2 linked regions of the Elephas maximus indicus genome follow. Each later gene encodes a partner of the first gene's protein in a complex. Links are inferred from orthologs where the notes say so. Each region holds a gene or a part of one and is shown in the gene's direction. Other genes may lie near its edges.

What was found. Proteins that work in one complex are often made in the same cells at the same time.
Region 2: CUL1 (region 1) and BTRC share a complex: the UniProt entries of both Homo sapiens proteins name them as parts of the SCF(BTRC) complex. The link is inferred for Elephas maximus indicus from reciprocal best matches to the Homo sapiens genes CUL1 and BTRC.

Annotation. Positions count from the first base shown.
Region 1 is NC_064826.1:1,461,304-1,468,480, reverse strand, and holds the start of CUL1 (cullin-1), read left to right. Parts: upstream 1-4,166; 5' UTR 4,167-4,305; intron 4,306-7,177. UniProt on the Homo sapiens protein: Core component of multiple cullin-RING-based SCF (SKP1-CUL1-F-box protein) E3 ubiquitin-protein ligase complexes, which mediate the ubiquitination of proteins involved in cell cycle progression, signal transduction and transcription.
Region 2 is NC_064834.1:52,977,920-52,985,997, forward strand, and holds the start of BTRC (F-box/WD repeat-containing protein 1A), read left to right. Parts: upstream 1-5,066; 5' UTR 5,067-5,166; coding exon 5,167-5,214; intron 5,215-8,078. UniProt on the Homo sapiens protein: Substrate recognition component of a SCF (SKP1-CUL1-F-box protein) E3 ubiquitin-protein ligase complex which mediates the ubiquitination and subsequent proteasomal degradation of target proteins. Recognizes and binds to phosphorylated target proteins.

The DNA of each region.
Region 1 (7,177 bases):
AACGGGAAGCAGGAAGATGCAAAAAGGAGAAAAGCAGCAGAGAGAGAAGAAGCAAAGAACCTTCTAAAGGATCCATATGGGTCAAGGGCTGGAACACTGAAGACAGTGACAGGCCCGGAAGAGGCTCTGTGGCAGAGCCAAAGGCAGGAAGGCCTGTCCTCAGGGACCAATAGGAGGCCTGTTCTGAGGGAGTTGAGAAGAAGCCTGTCCTGAGGAGCCAAGAGGAACCTTGTCCTGAGATGGCCAAGAAGAGGCTTGTCCTGAGGGGACCGAGAGGAGGCCTGCACAGCCCAGAGGGAGTGTGCACAGCAGAGAGGTCCTGCTTGCTTGCACAACCCAGAGGAGCTGAAAGAGCTGTCCTGCACTAAAGGCTCTGCCTACATGCTTCCTAATCCTGATCCCAAGTTGTACCCTACTTCCTTAATAAACCACTTAACTGTAGGTATGGTCTGTGAGTTCTTTGTGGCCATGACAACAGATTTTCGAACCCAGATGAGAAGTAGAGAGTGCAGTGGGAGGGACAGCTGGTATCAGAACTAGTAAAGAGGTTGGAGTGTGTAGATGTCTGACCTCCACCTCATAGGGATCAGTCATGGGCTGATCTTGATTCTCATTATACACCCCCTGAAGTTAGACAGGTACTGATGCTACTACTCCCACCATTTTACACTCTGGATTCAAGAAACAATCTGTGATGGAGAGGGAAATATGGAAGGAAAATAAATTGCAATGCCAAATTATAAACTCTTCAGTGAAAGAACACCTTATCTAGAGATGAGGGTGGAGTAGGTTTGGAGGGTCATAGAAAGCTTCCTGGACAAAGGATTTTAGGACAGTTTTCTGGAACTCTGAATGCTCGCCAGTTCTAGGTTGAATCATTTGAAAATGGCTATTTCATAGGCCCCAACTTAACTGAATGTAACGATGGCATTTAAGTCCCTCAGGAAAGACCTCAAATGTCTACTTAATTCATAACTATCTTACAGTAGTATTTTCTGACTTCTGGATCCCAAAACAAGAGGCATAGCAGTGGCAATATGAATACCTGAAACGAGAAAAGTTAGAATTTTAAATCCTCCCATCTCCTTTCCTGCATTCCATTCCATTCCTAAAGGTTCCTCTCCCAGGTCCACTGGCCCCAAGGCTTTCAGCTTGCTCTGAGACCCTCAGTGTTCTCTCAGACTTGCCCAAAACTTCCCATTCTTTAGGTGGGACTGATCCATGTTAGAAAGAAGACAACCCAACTCAACTAGTTAATGCTAAATGTGACTGAATGACTCAAGCTCTGTTACCCTCCTGGAGCTATTTTGATTTTTAGGAGAGGTTACTGAAGAATCTTTGGTGAAAATCCAAGCAATAAAAGCAAGGCCTTTTGTGAAGGCCTTTCTGTATGCAAGCCATTTATAAGTCAAGAGTTGAGAAAGTGGGGGGCTACCTATCCTATGGTTCCACAGTCGGATATATTTTGTGACTGTGGTAGGAAAACATCTGCTTCATATTTTACATATGTTGTTGTTAGCTGCTGTTGAGTTGGCTCCAACTCCTGGTGACCCATGTACAACAGAACGAAACACTGCCTGGTCCTGTGTCATCTTTGTGATTGTTGGTATGCTCATGACCATTGTTTTGGCCACCGTGTATTTTGAGTGCCTGACAGCCTGGGGGCTCCACTGGGTTTTCACTGGCTAATTTTCAGAAATACATCACCAGGCCTTTTTTCCTAGTCTGTCTAAGAAAAGGAAGTGAGGAAATAAAAAACACCACGTATCTACAGTGGAAAGTGTGGTCCCCAGGGAAAAGCCTTCCATTTTACCTCCAATCTTACCAAGTGCCCAACAAGAAAACTGTTAAAATACACCTATGTTTTCCTTACTAGATCATTAGTAATGTAGGCTATCCCCCAAGCATTTTGGAGGATCATCTATTTTGGCAATAAGAATGTATAAAAGATGTTGAGAAAAGACCACAGTTCAGTAGGAAGAGCCAAATACCCTGATGGGATGTGTCTTACAAGAGACAGGTGGTTACTCAGGAAGTAGTGAATGGAGGTAGTGCCTCTGCTCTAGGCCGAGGGCTGCTGCCCAGCATGGAACTAGAATCTCTGCAGTGTTTTAGTTTGGGAAGTCACATTCTTCACATCTCTTAGTCAGATGACAATTTGAAATCCTTCCTTGCTTGTTCACAGAGTTAGGTTGTGAGTGACGGCCCTAGGTATGCGGCTATCCATGCCTTCTCAGCCTCTGCCACATATCGGGTAGCTACTTGGGCTGCCAAAGTTTATATTTAACTTGAGTATTTCAGGTAGGGAGTATGACACTTAATTTCAAACTAATGGGATTAACTACTTCAGCCTGCATGTTAAGAAAATACTTAGTCACATCTCATACTATACATACATGCAATCAAATTTTTAAATTCTGTCTGTTTTTAATTTGGTTTTACAAAGATTAATAATAAAGTGAATCTTGGTGAAAATTTGCCAAAAATGATTTGGTTACAGGACTTGAAAAGGGAAGCTTGGTTTGGTTCTATTTTAGAAATGATCAAAAAAAAGAGGTGCAGATAATCCCAGGCTTTTAGGTCCTGATTCCTAAGGCCTGCAGGTGTAGGACACTGAGAATCCCACACTTCGGTGTGATGTCTGGGCCTCATTTTCAGGCCATCTCCCACAGCTGACTGTCTTACCTGCCCATCAGGATACTACATTAGGTTTGCCTCCGGTGCATTTATCTTCCATCCCAAGAAGCCTATTGATGGGATGTCTGTGTACGTGATGTCCTTGTATGATATGTCTGGTGGTGTACATCTGTGTCTGTGTGGTGTGATATGGTGTGGCATGATGTGCATGTCTGTAGTGTATGTGTGTGTGTTATATTTGTGTGATTGTGTGTGCAGTGTGTTTGTGGTATGAGGTGTGTGTGATGTGTCGTGTATGTGTCTATGTGGTGTGGGATGTATATTCTGAGTAGTGTGTGAACATGAGAGATGTATGCAGTGTGTGTGTGTGGTGTTTGATGTATGTGTCTGTGTAGCATATGTGTGGTGTGACATGCATATGTCTGTGTGAACATGTGAGCTATGTGTGGTGCATTTCTTTATGGTGTGAGGGTGGGTGTGCAGTGTACCTGTGTGGTGTGTGTACATGTATGTGAAGTGTATCCATGTGGTGTACACACATACGTATGTGTGGTGAGGTGTGTGATGTATCATGTGGTGTGTGAACATGGGAGGTATGTGCAGTATATGTGGTGATGTGTGTGTGGTGTATGTGTGATGTGGCATGTATGCCTGTGTGAACGTGAGGCGTGTCTGTGTGCTGTATCTGTGTGTGGTGTGTATCCACGCAGTGTATGTACATGTGTATGAGTACTGAGATGTGTGACGTACCTGTGTGGTGTGTGAATGTGTGAGGTGTGTCTGTGTGGTATATGTGTGATGTGGCAGGTATGTTTGTGAACATGTGAGGTGGGTGTGTGTGGTGTGAGGGTCTGTGTGTGGTGTGCATCTGTGTGGTGTGTGTATATGTGTGACCTATATGTAGTGTGGGGTATGTGTGTACATACGTGATATGTGGTATAAAGTGCGGTGTATACTTGTGCGGTGTGTGTCGTGTGTCTGTGGTGCCCGCGCACACTTCCCGCCCCCTCTTTGCCCCCACTTGCCCCACCTGCGGAGACCGCGGCCCTCAGGGCTCAGTGTTGTCGGCGTCCAGGACCGGCCGTGGGCTCTGAGGTAGCGAGACGGCGGCAGGCCCGGCGAGGACCAGGTGCGGCGGGAGGAGGCAGGAGGAGGAGCCGGGCTGAGGAAGAGGAAGAAGAAGAAAAGGTGAAGGAGGTGAACGGAGGAGAAGGCGGAGCCGAGCGGAGGAGGAGACAGAGCTGGGCCGAGGAGGCTGAGGAGGAGGCGGAGCCGAGCCAGGGGGGAGGCGGAGCCGGGCTGAGAAGGAGACAGCCGGGCCGAGGAGCTGAGGAGGAGACACAGCCGGGCCGAGGAGGAGGCGGAGCCGGGTCAGGGAGAGGCGGAGCCAAGCGGAGGAAGAGGCGGAGTCGGACGGAGGAAGCCGAGCGGAGGAGGCGGGGCCGGGCTGAGGAGGAGGCGGAGCCGAGCTGAGGTGGAGGAGGAGGAGGAGGAGCCGAGCGGAGGAAGAGGCGGGCGGCGCGGCGCACGGCGGGCGGGGCGGCCCGGGAGCAGGACGCGGCCAGGCCTCGGCGGGACGGGCTTCGGGCCTTGTCTGGCCTTCTCGGGGCCGGGCGGGCGGGGAGCGCGGACGTCGCGGGGCCGGCCGGCGCAGGGGACGCGGACGCGGTGAGTGCGGCGGCGGGCCGCGGTGTCGCAGCGGCCGGGCCGAGGCGGCGCCGGCGGAATGGCGGCGGCGGCGGGGACGCGGCGCGGCGGCAGGGGCCTGAGTCAGCGCAGCGGCTGCGCGCGGCCGGCGGCGGCCGTTATGGGGTCACAATCGGCGGCCCGTTCTCTCGCGGCCCGGACGGGCGGCTGCGGCCGAGCGCGAACCCGCGCTGGGACGAGGCGGGGCGCGGTGACCCGGTGACCCGCCGTGAGGACCGGCCTGGCCCCTCGGCGCGGTGGGCGCTCGACTCGCCGGCCGCCGCGCCGCGCCTTCCGCGGGAGCTGGGAGCGCGGCGGCGAGCGGCCTGGCCGTCTTGGAGCCGCGTTGCGGAGTGACGGACGGGAACCGAAGCGGTTTCCACTTAGGCCGCGGCCCGGGCCTCCGTCCCGACCCCGCGGAAGCTGCGCGGGCTGCGGTCGCTCTGCGTCGGGGCCTCGCTGCGTCCCCGAAAGCCCGCAGGGCGTGTGGCTGTGTGGCCGGTGCGTGTGGTGCCGGCGAAGTACACCGTGTGTCGGCGGGGAGGCGCCGGGACCTGAGGCTCGCTTTGTCCGGGAGGTTTTTGAATATTAGGAAAAATTTAGTTTGAAGTTCTGTTTATTGCTCTGCATGGACAGTCCACATAGTTGCATCGCATTTCAAATTCCGAAGCTGGTGAACGCAAGGTGGCCTGGCGTTAACTCCACTATGCCCATGTTTGGAGGTTTTGGAGCGTGTTCCCGAAGCTTCAGAGGGGTGGCTGGATTACTTTCTGAATATGTTAAACTTTTTTCCGTCGCTGGTCTCATCTTTTAAAAGCTGTTTTGCCTGAAAACCCCTAAACCAACCAAGCTTAGTATACTGGAAGTTTTCACCCATTTCTCCGGCCCACTCTCAGAGCCCCTAGCCCTAGCCCTTGTAGGCAGCCCCATTGCTAACTTGTACCCCATCAGAAAACTGAGGGACACTCGCGTGTGTGAGCCGGTTATGCACAGCGTCGCAGAGTATTAAAGCAGGTTAGGTTCCTGATGCTTAATGAGCACCTGGTGATAATTAGCCTCGGTGATGAACACAGCTTTATTTCCCGTATGTTTCAAACTGGATTCCTTGAGGGCAAGGAATATTCCTTATTTATTTTTGCATCCCAGATTAGCACAGAACTTGGTCAAGGTGGTACCTCAGTGTTTGGATGAATGTTCTGAGTAGTTCTACCTGTTATACCTATTGTTTGACCACTTGCCCTGATTTTGGTTACAGAAAACACCCCAATTACACTGTTCACGAATGCAAGCTTTGTTACTGTTATTGCACTGTTATTGAATTTGCTGTCTTTTTCCTCCATCCTTTCTTTTTCATTACCTCGTCCTTTCCCCCTCCGTACCCCAGTATCTAGCCCAATGCCCCAAAAGATATGCCCAGGTTTTCTTTACCTGTGGAAATCAAGCAGGTGCCAAGAAAACAGTTTGTGAAACTTTACTTAGCTTTTTTCCCCTTCAAAACTAGATTTAAGGTGTCGAATTTGTTTATCTTTTTGTGAGTTTTTTTTTTTTTGAATCATTTTTTCCCCCAGGCTAAATATTGCACTTTGTGTTTGAAAATGAAAAAAGTAGCCTGATAGTTGAGGCTCTTCCATGTTGGAAAGATGAGGCAAACCCGCTTGTGCTACTACAGAGTCCGGGATGCGGCCTCTGATTGGAAAGACCCTTCTCAGGTCCTTGGGGATCTTTTTCAGAAGTTCACTCCCAGTATGCCCAGTCATAGACAGTCTGAACACACTAGTCTTTAAAATGTCTAGAATTACTTGACATTCTTCAGTTTAAAAAAATGAGGGCCCCAAAAACTTGTGAACGTGTTTGTATTTTTATTCTTTGCTGTTTTAATTCTCCGTAGGTCCCATCTACCCTTGACAATTGAGTGGGTCAGCCTGGAATAAAATGCCTTTTGGGGATTGTTAGCTTCATTTTAAGCTTGTCTTTTAGATATTTCTAGAGAAAAGAATAATAGTTCTAAGGATCAATTCTAAGTTCATCTTGATTTTTAAGCTTATCTGGTAGTTTTAGTAAAGTGTGTTTTTTTGTTTGATTTTCAAGATCGAAAAATGAGCATCAAATGAGGAATAAATCAAATTTGGGATTTTAAGCTCCCTGAGGAGGTTAAGCTCCTAGTTTGTAATATGTGAATTTTATTTAGTAACAAAATTATGACACTTTTAGTGATTTTCCTGTGTTTTATTCACTCATAGATTTTTCTAGCTCTATATATAGCTGTGTGTTGTTACTAGCTTACGTATATGTGTGGTGTTTATTTATTCATTTATTTTTGCTTAGACGTAGAACATTTTGCTTGAGAGCAAAGACATGGGGTCTAGTCTGAGCTAAACTTTGCTGAGCCTGTATTTCCTCATTTGTAAAATGAGTTGGTTTTTAATCGCACTGTTTAAGATTTCTTTAGGCCCTCAGAGTGTTTGGCTTCTGTGGGAGTGACATAACTTTGAACTTCAACAGCATTTTGAAAAACTGCCTTATAAAATATAATCCACCTTAATCATGACTGAAAAGCAGAATTGTGAAGCCCAAGTTTGATAGCAATTTAAATTTTTTCCTTTGTGGGAAAACTTGGATCTAGGAAGCTTACCTCTCCTTTCCCTGCTTCCACCCTACTGCTGTCCAGGTTCCCAGGATCCCCTGCCACCCTCCCTGCCGCTGTGGCTCATGCTTTCTCCTGCCTAGAATATCATCTCTCTTCCGTTCCCTTAAGTCCCTGAGTGGTGCAAGCGGTTTGCGATCATCTTCTAACATAAAGGTCGGTGGTTTAAACCCACCCAGTGGCTCCGAGGGCGAAAGACCTGACTGTTTG
Region 2 (8,078 bases), on another chromosome or scaffold:
AGATGGAAGGGAAAGCCTGGAAGTCAGAGAACTGGATTGGAGTTCAATATGGCGAACCAAGCAAAAAAGATGATGATAGTCTGGAACAGGCTAGCACTGAGGGTGGGATGGGAGCTGCAAGAGGTATTTGATGGATTCCTGGCTGAATACAGACTCTAATAGACAAGGACGAGTCAAAGAGTACTCTAAGGTCTTAAACCAGGATAGAGGAAAAAAAAAAAAAAGAAAGAAATCCAGTAGTAGCTGTGGTTTCTCATGCTGACTGTCCAGTTTTCCAATAAAATGGAGGTTTAAGAGTTCTAATGATTCGGTATTCTCCTCAAGCAACTGCACTATAAGTGGACTCATAAGTGCATATAGTTTAGAGTTGGCAGAGATCTTGTTTTCCAGATGAGGAGAGGGCCAGAGAGGATGGTTAATTGCTCAAAGTCAACCAATTAACTGGGGAAAGTGTGGGCTAGGATCAGACTTGTTAACTCACCAGTCTGATCATCTTTCCTAAACCATGTTGGACAGGAGGGGTTTGAAAATCAAGGCAATTCAGATTTGCATTTCGTAGGCTTGCCTCATCATGACTGGTCAATTTTAAGGAAAGAGGATTTATCCTTTCCATAGTCAACTCCTGCCAGGTCAGTTTCAATCTACATGCATAACAGCCCTCTAGCTCGTTGTGCTTCCAAACAAAAATTCCTTATATTCGTTTTACTAATTCTCATCTTCAAATGACTAAACAAAGTGAGGACTGTCACTGACTGGCAGCCTCATCAGGCAATATTTTCATACTCCTCTATGAATAACAAAGTAAAATCAGTGACTTATCAACAGTATAGAATTTAAAAGGTCTTAACCTCCCACCCAAACTGAAACTCCCTAGACTATTTCTGAAAGATGGTCATCCTGCCTTTAAGTGTTTTCAGGAATGGGGCAGTCCATTCCTTTGTCATGACAGCTCTAATTACTCGAAAAAATTATTACTGTAAATTAGGGATAACAACAGCTATTTTCAGAGTTACTATGACTATTTAAAAACAAAACAAAACAAAACAAACCCATTGCTGTCACGTTGATTCTGACTCATAGCAACCCTATAAAAACCCTATAGGACAGAGTAAAACTGCCCCATAAGGTTTCCAAGGAGCGCCTGGTAGATTTGAACTGCTGAACTTTTAGGTTAGCAGCCGAACTCTTAACCACTACGCCACCAGGGTTTCCACTATGTATATTAAAAAAAAAAAAATATTAGGGATTATAAATGTAAAATACCCAGTATAGTGCCTGGCACAAAGAGCTAATAAAACGATAGCTGTTGTTGTTATTATTATCTCACCCACTGATTCTAGTTTGCTCTGTGAAGCTACATACATATACTTTCAAATAGCCTTTCAAATACTTGAAGTTAATTGTCATGTTATTCCTATGTGTTCTTTTTTCAGAATAAGCATCTATCAGTATTTTCTCTCTTGGATATCCTGCTTTTGGCTATGCTCCTGCATGGGATCTTTGTAGAATGGGGTGCCCATAATTGAACAAGGTACTGTAAATGTAATCTGGGTGCTTCAAAATAAAGTAAGACCATAAGCCTCTTTGGCCCAGATCCTACTTCTGCTCAAGCTGCCTAGGGTTCCTTTAGCTTTTGTGGCAATCACGTCACATTACTGCCTTTGGCCTAGGAAAACTCCCAAGTCTTTTTTCACATGAGTTTTAAGTCTCCCTCATTTTACACTTGTGTAGAACTTTTTTTCAAACACGAGCGCAAAACTTTATATTAGTGGAAAGCCTGTTACGTATCAGATAAGTTCTGTGGAAATAGGGATGCCTACGACAAATCATTAACACGTTAGAAATGTAAGCTCCACAAGGGCAAGGACTGAGTCTGTTGTGTTCACTACTGAATCTCCACTTTTTGTCATGATGTCGGCACACAGTTATATGCTTAATGTTTGTTGAATAAATTACTGAATAAAATATTTACAATGGAGATTTTTTCTTATAAGTTAAAAGGTATTTCTCTGATTCACTTATTTTTTTTTTTTTTTTTATAATAACTTTTATTAAGCTTCAAGTGAACGTTTACAAATCCAATCAGTCTGTCACATATAAGTTTACATACATCTCACTCCCTACTCCCACTTACTCTCCCCGTCTTGAGTCAGCCCTTTCAGTCTCTCCTTTCTTGACAATTTTGCCGGCTTCCCCTCTCTCTATCCTCCCATCCCCCCTCCAGACAAGAGTTGCCAACACAATCTCAAGTGTACACCTGATATAATTAGCTCACTCTTCATCAGCGTCTCTCTCCCACCCGCTGACCAGTCCCTTTCATGTCTGATGAGTTGTCTTCAGGGATGGTTCCTGTCCTGTGTCAACAGAAGGTCTGGAGAGCATGACCGCCGGGATTCCTCCAGTCTCAGTCAGACCATTAAGTTTGGTCTTCTTATGAGAATTTGGGGTCTGCATCCCACTGCTCTCCTGCTCCCTCAGGGGTCCTCTGCTGAGCTCCCTGTCAGGGCAGTCATCGATTGTGGCCGGGCACCAACTAGTTCTTCTGGTCTCAGGATGATGTAGGTCTCTGGTTCATGTGGCCCTTTCTGTCTCTTGGGCTCTTAGTTGTCATGTGGGCTTGGTGTTCTTCATTTTCCTTTGCTCCAGGTGGGTTGAGACCAATTGCTGCATCTTAGATGGCTGCTTGTTAGCATTTAAGACCCCAGACGCCACATTTCAAAGTGGGATGCAGAATGATTTCATAATAGAATTATTTTGCCAATTGACTTAGAAGTCCCCGCAAACCATGTTCCCCAGACCCCCGCGCTTGCTCCGCTGAGCTTTGAAGCATTCATTTTATCCCGGAAACTTCTTTGCTTTTGGTCCAGTCCAATTGAGCTGACCTTCCATGTATTGAGTGTTGTCTTTCCCTTCACCTAAAGCAGTTCTTATCTACTGATTAATCAATAAAAAAACCCTCTCCCACCCCCCCTCCCTCCCCCCCTCGTAACCACAAAAGTATGTGTTCTTCTCAGGTTTACTATTTCTCAAGATCTTATAATAGTGGTCTTATACAATATTTGTCCTTTTGCCTCTGACTCATTTCGCTCAGCATAATGCCTTCCAGGTTCCTCCATGTTATGAAATGTTTCAGAGATTCGTCACTGTTCTTTATCGATGCGTAGTATTCCATTGTGTGAATATACCACAATTTATTTACCCATTCATCCGTTGATGGACACCTTGGTTGCTTCCAACTTTTTGCTATTGTAAACAGAGCTGCAATAAACATGGGTGTGCATATATCTGTTTGTATGAAGGCTCTTGTATCTCTAGGGTATATTCCGAGGAGTGGGATTTCTGGGTTGTATGGTAGTTCTATTTCTAACTGTTTAAGATAACGCCAGATAGATTTCCAAAGTGGTTGTACCATTTTACATTCCCACCAGCAGTGTTGATTCACTTATTTTTATAAATTCAGATCATTTACAAGTCTAACATAATCTCAGTTTTAGCTTAAACCTAGAGTTTTCTCCTCCTAGGGTAATCCAATTTCCAAAATAAACACTAATTATTCCTTTCAAGGTCAAAGAAAATACTCACATGCTTTAGCTGCTGGGTGGCCATTATATTCCACCACTGAAGGCCTTTTGTAAACAAGTACCCCCTTTGACCCTTAATGCACTGTTTACATCCCAGGGTTAACACTAGCAAACCATGCCTTCTGAGTGTTAAATACCTGAAAATTTCCTGAGCTGACATCTATCTGGCCCTGTTTTTCTGCAGGGGGGGAGAATAGGTCTTTTGGAAGAAATATGGGGAGCTAGCTTTGGAGGACCTTGAAATTCTTCATTGGTCTGTGACCTGCTGCCAGGTACCCACAGGCCCAGTGCCTCTGGGTCACAAACCCTTCCGCAGAAGCTAGATATATGGAATTTGGGGTTGACTAGTTCCCTAAATTCAGTATAGATTAAACATCAGCATAAAGAAAACTAAAATCCTAACAACTGGACCAAAAAGCAACAGCATGATAAATGGTGAAAATATTGAAGTTGTCGGGAGTTTCATTTTACTTGGATCCACAATCAACATCCGTGGAAGCAGCAGTCAAGAAATCAAATGACACATTGCATTGGGTAAATCTGCAGCAAAAGCCCTCAAAAATGTTAAAAATCAAAGATGTCATATTGAGGACTAAGATGGACCTGACCCAAGCCATGATCTTTTCAATCACCTCATATGCATGCGAAAGCTAGACAATGAATAAGGAAGACGGAAGAATGATGCCTTGCAATTATGGTGTTGGCAAAGAATATTGAGTACGCCATGGACTGCCAGAAGAACGAACAAGTCTCTTGGAAGAAGTACAGCCAGAATGATCCTCAGAAGCAAAGATGGATGATGACAAGATTTCGTCTAAGGTACTTTGGACATGTTATCAGGCGGGATCAATCCCTGGAGAAGGACATCATGCTTGGTAAGTCATAGGGTCAGCGAAAAAGAGGAAGAACCTCAACGACGAGATTAATTGACACGGTGGCTGCAACAATGGGCTCAAGTCAACAACTGCGAGGATGGCACAGGACCGGCGGTATTTCGTTCTGTCGTACGCAGTGTCCCTGTGAGTCGGAACCGACTCCACGACACCTAACAATAAGAAGTTCCCTAAAACCACAGTTAGGGAGGTCCCAGGACCTCTGAGTCCTCTCATAGTTTTTTCCAGTATTTGGGGTACAGGTGAGGTATACCGGTCGCCATCTTGATATCAAATGTCAGGCAAGCTGCCATTGGCGTCTCACGGTAACCACGGAGACACCCGTGCCCCTCCCATTCCTAGAGGCCATAAACTACAATTCCCATCAGCAGACTTTCCCTTGTTGACCGACAGTTGTCTAGGCTTGACTCGTCTGCAACGGCGACCCTGCCGCAGTGAACCGCGGGAGTCGCAGTTCGTGGTGTGGTCTCACTTTTTGCTGCGGGAGGCACCAGAACTACAAATCCCGTGAGCCAGCGGGCTCGCGCATGCGCATGGAACAGCCGATCCTTGCTGGCTCCCTCGCCAGCGCCTAGAGTTAAGAAAGGGCGGGGTGAAGGAAGAGGAGGCGGGATCCGGGCGCTGCGTTGGCTGCGGCCTGGCACCCAGGGGGCGGCCCCGGCAGAGAGCGAACCCAGCGGCCCGGGTCGATTATGGACCCTGCCGAGGCGGTGCTGCAGGAGAAAGCGCTCAAGTTTATGGTGAGGAGAAGGTGCAGACCAGGGAGCGGTGGAGGCGGTGGCGTTGGCGGCGTCGCTGAGTCTCGAGTCTGGGCCTCCTGTCCGCTGGGGGAGGGGGCAGTGGGACCCCGGGCCGAGGCCGGCGACGGCGAAGGCTGAGGGGACAGGACCGGAGCTCCGGGGAGGCGGGAGGGAGTTGCGGAGGAACCCGGGAGTGGGGGCAGCAGCTCCGCCATCTTGTGGATGAGAGGCCAAGTGACAGCGGGGGTTTAATCCGGGAGGGGTCTCCGGGCAGCGCGCGGGGCCGTGGAGAGAAAGGGGCGTGGGGACAGTTACTGAAGAGCGGAGGAAGCCGGGAGGATAGACGCCCAAAGGCCGCTGGCAGGGCCTTCCTGGTGTCAGGGTTACGGGTAAGGCCCGGAGAGGAGGTGCGTTCAGGAGTGGGGAAGGGGAGCGCGGGATAGTGGGAGGACGTATATTGGAATTAGGAGGGAATCGGGCAGGGCTGGATGCAGATGGATCTAAGAGTGGACGAGGGAAAGCCAAGGCTGATGGGAGACTTGTAGTTTTGTAGAATGAAGAGGGAGATAGCCTTTGCCTTGAGGGTGGAATCCCAGCTTAGCCAAACTAATGTTGACAAACTCTGAGAAGGAGGAGGCCTTACTTAGGAAGATAAGGACTCGGAATGGGGACCTAGGGCCATGGTAACAGTCTCTGGGAAAGAACGGCGAGGTTGACTTGTGAGCCAGATTACAAACGTCAGGAAAAGGGATATATGCTCTACTTTGAAAGAAGAAGCTAAATATTGTTGTAAGGACGAGGCGATGAAAAGCAGGAGCCTAATTGGTCAGGGAAACTCGGGTATAGGAGTTTGAGGGCAAATTAATATCTAATAAAATACAAATTAGAGCTAACTTGTGGAGGTAGTGAAGTGTAGGGACCAGGTGCTGTATCACTTCCTGGGAAAGAAAGGGCCAAGGAGATTAGAATTGCAATGACCTATGTGATGAAATCAGAGGAGAAATTCAGGAGATAAAAGGGGGAATGTGGGTAGTCGGTATTGAGAGGAAAGTCAGAATTGGTGGTTCCCATCAGTTTTAGGTGTGAGCATGGGTTGGGCTTTGTGTGTGTGTTTAAACTCCTTGGAGCTTGTTTAACTTTGTATCATGCTTTTCTTGTGCTATACTTACATTTGGCACACGTGTGTAGTCTGATATCTCATGCTTTTAATCTGATGCTTCTTGTATATCCTAGGTGTAAAGCCAGACTTTGTGGTTACAAGTACAGAATGATGGGATGCATAGACTTCTAGCTTAACAGGGGGCTTTAGAGATATTGGTATTATTTGCAGTCAAGTCTTGCTTGCTTTTTCAAAAGTAATTTTAACCTGTCACTCCAAACCTTATTCCTTTGCTAGATAGTTATTACATTGTGTCTTTGTCTGAAATACTGTAACAATTTCCGAATCAATAAACATGGGTATTAATTGAATTAACGCTTTAAACTGCCCCACTTACAAGAATACTTCCCAAGAGACTGGTCAAATTTACTTAAACACCTAAATAAAGTTTGACTGTATCGAAAACAAAATCCCATTAAACTTGAAGAAAGTTCTTGAATGTCTGCCTAATTTTGAAATCTTAAAATATTTAAGAAGAGACTTTGAATTTTTTTTTGATTTTAGAAATTAGAGGAAATTGTTTTATGTCTATAGCTAGCTTCTAAATTTAGTTTAAGTCAGAAAAGTGGCAGCTGCTTATTTTTATTTTCCTATTTAGAGGGTTGACTCTTAATCCTAGTCCTGACACTTGTGTCAGATTTATGGAATAGTGTTATTTACAGATCGTAAAGAGGCATTATGAGATCATCTTCTTTACTCCCCATTAGACCTCAGCCTATGAACATTCTCAACTATTTGCTCTCTGCTTTGTACCAGTAAGTTATGTTTCCGTAATAGCCTTCTGCTTGAGTTAATTTGGACCTGAAGATGGCCAGTGTAGAAGTTTCCAGCTTTTTTGGGGCACACATTATTAAATGTTGAGTCAGTCTCCATAGGGAGAAGCCAATTTTTTCTTTAAGTTACTTTCATTTTTGACCTTGCCTGCTACTGTGGTTGCTGTTTGAGAAAAGGCCAACTGGAAGAGGGTCACCAAGAATGACACCTTAATAACTGATGCAGAGAACAGAGAGCCAGAGACTTGGTATTCTCCTTCAACTCAGTAACAGTCTTATTATGAATCTGAGTAAGTCACAGCTTCCCTTTGGTCCCAATTACCCCACCATAACCTGTGTGTTTATTCAGGGTGAACTTTGAGTTATGAAGATATTTTATTTGCTCTTGAACCAACTAATTAGTTTACAGTACACATGGAAGGGCTATCCTTTAATCAAATTGAAATTTTTATAGTGTTTGCTTTATTTCTTGCCTGACTCCTCTCAGTTGTGAATTACTAATTGTAACTTTTGTATAGATGCCTTGATTTCCATAGTTTAAAAAAAAATGTATAGTTTGTTTAAAACCCCAACATGAAATGAATACCGTCTTTACCAGTTTTACTCATTACCACATTGATGCAGTGTTGCGATTAGGAATTTTATACTAAAATCTTATTAATGAGACTGCTAATTCAGTTGACCGTAATTCACACATGGTCTGTACTCTTACCCTTAGTTACTTGTGAAAAAGAGTTTAAGCAGAACATTTTATTTCTAAAAACAAGTGATATTAAAGAAGTGGTTTACAGTAAATAACTTGTATGCTAATGTTTCTCCCTCAGCTTTAGCAGGCCATTAGGACCTTTACTGATATTTACTTGGTCAACAAAAATCTAATACCTTAAAAAAAAGATAAATGGGAACTGTAAGAAGACCTGAGAAGAGAAACT